2 linked regions of the Canis lupus familiaris genome follow. The protein of the gene in region 2 interacts with the protein of the main gene of each other region in a pairwise test. Links are inferred from orthologs where the notes say so. Each region holds a gene or a part of one and is shown on either strand. Other genes may lie near its edges.

Region 1 (3,678 bases), on a different chromosome or scaffold from region 2:
GAATGTCTGTGTATAAAAGATTTTAGATGTCATCGAGTTTATCCCAAACGCCTCATTTTACAAACCAATAAACTAAGCCTAAGAGAGGGAAAGTTTTGGTCTAAGACCCAAACTTCAGGGAGATTTCTCATAATTGCAACAGTTTAACATGTTCTTTTTTCTTTTCCATTGCAGTACAGTCTACTTGTTACCACCTCAATTACTCCTTTACCAACTCTTTAAAAGGAAAGATACTAAATAATGCTCTCAGGTAGTGGATATATTTCCATAGGGTATATTTAGGGGGCATTTATTATTATTATTATTATTATTATTATTATTATTATTATTAATCATTGTAATTTCAAGTTCTAAACTATATATGCATTACTAACTACATATTATGAACAATAAGTAAGGGCTTTCCATAAATCTACATCTTAGAGGAAAAAAACCTCTTGAGATAATAAAGTGGCTTAGTTAGGATTTGGGGTCTTAATCCTAGTTCTGCTACTAATTAGCTGTGACCCTGAGTGAGAGGCATTTCAGGGCTCTTTTTTTCATATGGAAGATGGACAAGATCCTCAATTCTCACCTTTCCTTGGAGTCCTTCAAGTTCTGAAGTGGGATCCAAAGAACTAATGGAAACCATAAGTTTGCTTCCTTCTGACAAAGCTGCACAGCTATAATATTGAGTTTGCTTTGGAGTCACTAGGTATCCTGTGCTGACCAACAGCTGTAATTGGCATATATACACATCTCAGCTAAAAATGACAAAATCAATTACTTTTAAACATTTTGAATGACAAAATTTAAAAAAAAAATTGGCCCGTTGGGGCAATAATAAAAATGAAGCTTTCAAAAGCACAGAGACAGGAGTAGAGGGCAGAGAAGATAAGTTTTGCATAGAGAAAGAAAAACCGATTCACATAAATATGAAATTATATTTCACTCAAGTACCAAAGAACTTGGGTCCTTACTGTATTCATTGGCTGATCCTGAAAAGTGCCCAGATGCAAATCACTCTGTTGAATCTCAGTTCTTGAAAATAGCACTTGATCAAACAAGAACAGGCACTTAGAGTTGGATTATAAAGCATTTTCCTTTACATTCATATTGTCTCCAACTAGATTATATTTCACAGAAAATTTAAAGAGAAGTCCCTCAAGAAGTTTAAATCGCTTGGTATAAAACACACTAGTTCATTCAGTCACGTTCAACCAATACACTTAAAAGGGCATTAGCAGGGATTATGTTCCATCTCCAGTCTACAGGGACTGAAATCCGAAGGCACTGCCAACTGCTGCCTCGCAGTTCTCACAGCGTTTAACTAGCAGAGAAGAAATCTGTGTGCCACCAAAGAGCCCTGGGCTGGGGCACTGGACATGTGGATTCTAATCCAGCTAGCCTCCGGGCAATTCCCTGCACCCAGCACAGTACTTTGCACCTAACTGACATTCTGAAATGTCAATTAAGTGGGAATAGAAAATTCCCCACCACATGCCGATTAATTGTTATATCAGAGAACTCCAAGCAACTGAAATCCAATTATGTAAGACGTGGAAAGTTTGGTGGAAGGAAAAGAGTCAACATTTCTCGACCACTATTGCAAACCAAAGGATTTGCATCGGGTGACCTCACAAAAGCTGTGTGGAATTATGTTCAACATTTCCATTGGAGACACAGAAAACCAGGCTCAAAGAAAGTAATTTATTCACCATCCACAATTAGTTAAGCCCAGATTTCCAACTCGGGTCTGCAAGGCCCCACACTGTTTTTGCAAGTATGCAGCACCTACACGTCGAGGCAGCCGAGGAGGAGTTAGAAATTTGGGTCTAAGTTTTTCACTTCTGTCCTTAAGTTGTTGCACACGCGTGGCCGGGCGGAACGGTTTACTGCCATATTTCCACCTGCACGATGGGGGTGGGGTGGGGGTGGGGGGTTGACCCAGATAGGCAGTTTTGTTTGGTGCTGTAGGGCGGTTATAGCAGGTTAAAGCGCTCCTTTTTGGGCCAGGGCTTTTTCTAAGGCAGGCTATTGCTCTGTCAAACTATCTGGGACCGGTGGTCCCCTTTGGTTCCAGCTGGCAAACGTGTTATGCTCCGCAGGCGGAACGGAGCCAGAAAAGTTGCGCGGGGCTCGAGCCCCCCTGTCATTAACTCGAGGCTGAGCACCTGACCCTGCGGGATCTCGGTCAAAGTTAAGAGGCAGCTCGTCCCCAGAGTCAGGTTTGCTTCCTGGCTGTGTCCCCGCCTGGGGCTCGCGGCCGGGGAGCAACGGACAGGATGCGTGCCCTGCAGTACCTGAGCGGCCTGCACCGGCCGGTGCGCGGACAGGCCGAGCCTGCGAGGGGCTGGGAGCTCGCGGGGCGCTGCTCCCGGCGGCGGCTGCGGAACCACTTCCCGGTCAGCGCCTCCGCCCTCGCCCGCACCCCCACCCACTGCTGCAGCTCCCCGGCCTGCGGCTGCGGCTGCACCGAGCGAGGGTCCCGGCAGCGGCGGGCGGGCGGGTCCGTCAGGCTCTCGGGGAGGGGACCCATCACAGATTTCAAACGCGACGCTCTGGAACTGCAACTCCCCGGGGCATCCCCCGCCGCTGCAGCGAAGAGGCGCCGGGCCCGGCCGAGTCCCGCCCGGGCCACCGTCCCGCTAGGGACCCAGGTGCGCCGCGCCCCCCCGCAGCCTCGCCCGGCACCTGTCGCGCCCGCAGCGGCCAACCCCGCGCTCACCTCGTCCCGGGCGCCCACGGCCCGTCCCCGCGCCTCCGGGCCCGGCTCCCTCCGCCGTCTCCGCCAGGGCCCCCACCGCGGCCGCCGCCCACTTTCGGTTTCCCCGCTCGGCCGGAGCCGCCGCCGTCGCGGCTCGGGAATCACCTCAAGCCCCCGCCCCGCCCCGCTCCGCCCCGCCCCGCTCCGCCCCGCTCCGCCCCGCCCCGAGGGCAGCCCGGCCTCGGCCTCGGCTCTGCGCACGCGCGGGCTCCCCAGCCGCGTCGGCCCACCCCGGCGTCCGCGCGTGGGAAGGGAAACCGACGCCGCCTAGCGGTTTCTGCGCGTGCCCACGCACCGGCCGCCGGCGGAAGACGACTGCGCGGCGGGCTCCGGCGCGCCTCCTCGTGGCCAACGCGGGTACCGGCGGGCGGGCGGCCGGGCGGGCGGCCGGGGGCGGCCCGGGGCCCCCGCGGGACCTCGGCCGCCGCGCTCCTGCGCGCCTCCAGCCCCCGGGCTCTCGTGCCAGGCGGCTCGCGCGCTCAGCTCTCGCTCATTCTTTCCGTCAATGGTGGGGCTGTAACTTCTCACGCTCCGGGACAGCCACCTGCGTGCACCTCGCATCGCCCTTAGGGTAGTTTGCAAGCGTCACCTTTTCAAGGAGAGCGCCTCCTTCAAGAACGAACGTCAGTGTCCTCCCTGGATACCTTCTCCCTTAGCCCCTGGCGGGTGGGCCCACTATACGCATTTTACTTTTCCTTTCCATTGTCTGCTGTGCTCCAATTCAAGGCCTACGAGCGCAGGGATCCTTGTCATTCCGGCGTATTCCCAGAGTCTCGGGTTGCTCTTGGCACCTGAGGGTGACATACATTTTGTCCAATGCTTTCCTTCATTCATTGTAAGATCGTTGAACGTCTAATATTCACTTATTTTCTTCTGCACATCGATTCCACCAACACGTATTGCGCATATTGGTTTGCATTCCTGAAACCAGC
Region 2 (3,648 bases):
GTAACTTTACATTATACTTCTAAATTAATGCAAGAAGAATTGAGAACCTTACATCTGCTTCATTGGACTGCCTGCAGAGACTGTATATATTCATTCACATGTCAGTTACGCATTTTTTAATTATGGAGCCTTCAAAAGTTTACTTTAATATTTAGTAAGCGCCTCTCATTAAGTTCCCTTATTCTTCTTCCCTTCTCCTCCTATTAATACAAACTTCAGGATCAATTTGACTAGTTCCAGGAAAAACCTTGTTAGTCTCTGTTATGGGTTGAACTGTGTCCTCGAAACTCAAGACTTAAGTCCTAACCCCCAATACCACAACATGACTGTATTTGGATATCGGGCCTTTAATGAGGTAAATAAGGTAGAATAAGGTCAAGTGAGTGAGCCCTAACCCAGTAAGACTGGTGTGCTTTTGAGAAGCAGAGATCAAGACACAGACAACACTAGCAGACTGAGGGACGACCACACAAGGATACAGCGAGGAGGCAGCCATCCGCAAGCCAAGGACAAAGGCCTCAGAAGAAACCAAACTTGCCAACACCTTGATCTTGGACTTCAAAACTCCAGCACTGTGAGAAAATAAATTTCTGTAGTCGTTCAGTCTGTGGTATTTTGTTGTGGCAGCCCTAGCAAACTAAAATAGACTTTTTTTTTGCATGGCATGTTACATTTATAAATTAACTCAGGAAGAATAGAGAGCTTTATGATAGTGAATCCTCTCATCCAAAAACATGGCATTTCTTTCCATTTGTTCATGGGATGAGATTAGTCTGTATAATGTCAGTTTTTAGAAACATTATATGCTTGATATAAACTGCAAGTTTTCTTATTTCTATATAATTAGTTCTTTGGGGGAAAAAAAAAAAAAGAATTATTTCTTTGAAGCTTTGTGAAAGCATCTGGGCCTGACCCAAATCTTGTATGAGCCATCAGCAGATTTCTGCAAAACAGAAGAGAATGGCTTCCCAGTTTTCACAGGTAAGGGGTTCCTCTTCTTCTGCTAAAGCAACTTTTTCCTGAGACCTGGCCGCTCTATAGAGCCATAACTCCTCTGTCACTCTAAGCCAAACCTGGTTTAGAACTTCTAGCTCTAGCCCTTCCCTTCCCCAATTCCTTCACTGGCCATAAAGGTGCACAGTCTCTGTAATCCTAATCATTTTCTAAAAGGTTATAGGTGTGCATACACATTTTGTGTGTTGGAGGGGGGCACTGGGTACAAGGCAATGCTAGCTCAGATAGGAATTTTCTGCACCTTCTCCTTCTTCCTCCAGCATCCATGCCCTAACCCTACCTCAGACCTACGGATAGTACTCCAATGCAGAGTGGGCCCTGTCTTGCTGTGTATTTATTGCTAATCTTTGAGCTCAATCTCTTCTCTTTTCTTGATGCACCACTGTTGAGTTTTCATGAGGGTTCTCTTGCCCTGGCTCTAATGGTCTTAGATGTTTTTGGCAGCACCTAAAATAGGGAATTTTATGGTTTTCTCAGCCTTTTACGGTCACTGAGAATGTAGCTGGGTCTTTTGTTTAATCTATCTTCTATTCTCAGTAGTTTCCAAGAGGGAAAAAATGAGAAAATTTCCAACAAAGCTGCTAAAAGTAGCTACCACATTCCTACTGTAAGTCCTAAGCCCAATGCTTTGTAAGGAGCCTTTTCTTATATGGTATTTTTAAAAGACTGTATGATATCTGAACTGCAATAAATGGCATAAGGAATTACTGTCCAAAGTGGATTCTGAATTATTTACTTAAGCTTATTTTCCAACCAGAATACTTGGGAACCAAATCCTCTTTCCACCTAGATAATCTCAGAGAAAGCAAGCTAATTTCAATACTAACCCAAGGAAATAAAATTAGTCAATGAAATCTATTGCAAAACATTACAAAAACAAAATCTAAGGCAAAAATAAATGCCAAGCACTGAGAATAAATTCAAACTTCATGCACATATCTACTACCAACCTTGTTGTCCATCTGGCATGGTCACAATGATGGGCTGACCTATTCCACTGGTTGGAATGGAGTGCAAATTTCCAAGCTGAATTCCATCTGTGACTATTGTGATGACTTGCTGACCACCTGAACTAACTACTTGTTGAATGGCACCATCGACAGATTCTGCAGTAACTACCTCCTCCGTAGCCACTACTGGAAAAAAAAAAAAAAAAAGTAAAAATCAGTGAACATACATAAAAATAAATATGACTAGTTCATTTTTGCTTTGCTACTTTTGCTTTCCCTGTTTTGTTCTGACACAGAAAAGCTTTTACATGGTTTTTATTAAATCCACTCTTCCGTGATGCTGTATATATCTATATAGATAATGGACTACAAGTCCCACAATTTATAATTAACTGAGTTGTGACTACACAGGTGTATATTTAACTACACATGCATATATTTAAATAAACAATATTTATATTGTTTATATGAGGTACAAAATTTATATAATCTCCTAAGGTCATAGATATAACACAGGTTATACCTGCTTAATAAAATTTTATGATCCAAAAGAGAATTTTGTATGTGGTTGTACTCCATTTATATTTACATGAGTTATTTGCCTATATTTACATGAGTTGAATGCATTTCCATGTTCAATTGAAACACAAAAATCTATATTTTTCAAGTAAACAGAATAAACAGTATTCCCTTTTTGGATTATGTGAGAAAGGGGTTGCCTTGATAGCAAGTGGCACACAGGTCAAGTACTGTAATGACAGTGAATAATATATTAAAATTCATATAAATAAAATCCAAAGAATGTTACTATCTTGTAAGAGGCCCAGAGAGGATTCTGGCAGCTGAAAACGGCACCCCTGGCTTCACCTGAGTAAAGAAATCACAATTTAATACTACCAAAATCCTTTCCCACAAGCAATCCTGTGCAATCCACAGGCAATACTGATCCCAAAAGACCTATGGACAGGAACATTCCCAGCAGCTACACTCATGATAATAAGAAACTTGAAACCACCGGATATCCATCAAAAGAAGAAGGATAAACAGACTGGTAGATTAATACAATGGAATACTACCCAGCAATTAAAACGACTAAATGCAAAACATAGATAAATCTGACAAAAACCATGCTCACTGATATAAATCAGATACAAAATATATATTGCCTTCTTCCCATTTATAAACTAAGCAGTGATTATACAAGAGTAACCACTCTGAGATAATTTATTACACTATACATTGATGATCTATGCACTTTTCTGTATGCTTATTACACGTCAATAAAGAAGCAGCAAAAGGAATAATGACAATAATGGATTATAACACAATGAATCTTCAAAAATCCATTTGTCCATAATAATACTTAGTGAAAAAGGAGAGAAAAGGGGAAGGAGTAAAGATCATCTTGATAGAAGAATGACATCTAATTAACAAAATAAGGAAAATTATCACTGTAACCTCCAATGTAATAATTGATTCAAGCAAGGGTCACCAGTGGATGTTAAAACCACTGAAATGTTTCAAGAAACAAGATATTCATATATTTTCAAAGTATCACACAGCAAAGATTACTAAGCGGTAAAGGTGCCTATAAAGACCTAGCAATGACCACTCTCACAAAGCGGTCATTATCAGGATGGCCTGACATGTACCTGCTGATGTGATACAATGGGACATTACAAAA

What was found.
Region 1: the proteins of GABPB1 (region 2) and TDRD7 interact in binary tests that used the Homo sapiens proteins (3 or more experiments, as listed by UniProt). The two-hybrid records come from large-scale screens. The link is inferred for Canis lupus familiaris from reciprocal best matches to the Homo sapiens genes GABPB1 and TDRD7.

Annotation. Positions count from the first base shown.
Region 1 is NC_049232.1:55,090,681-55,094,358, reverse strand, and holds the start of TDRD7 (tudor domain-containing protein 7), read right to left. Parts: upstream 2,831-3,678; 5' UTR 2,708-2,830; intron 744-2,707; 5' UTR 575-743; intron 7-574; 5' UTR 1-6. UniProt on the Homo sapiens protein: Component of specific cytoplasmic RNA granules involved in post-transcriptional regulation of specific genes: probably acts by binding to specific mRNAs and regulating their translation.
Region 2 is NC_049251.1:16,538,803-16,542,450, forward strand, and holds part of GABPB1 (GA-binding protein subunit beta-1), read right to left. Parts: intron 2,151-3,648; coding exon 1,965-2,150; intron 1-1,964.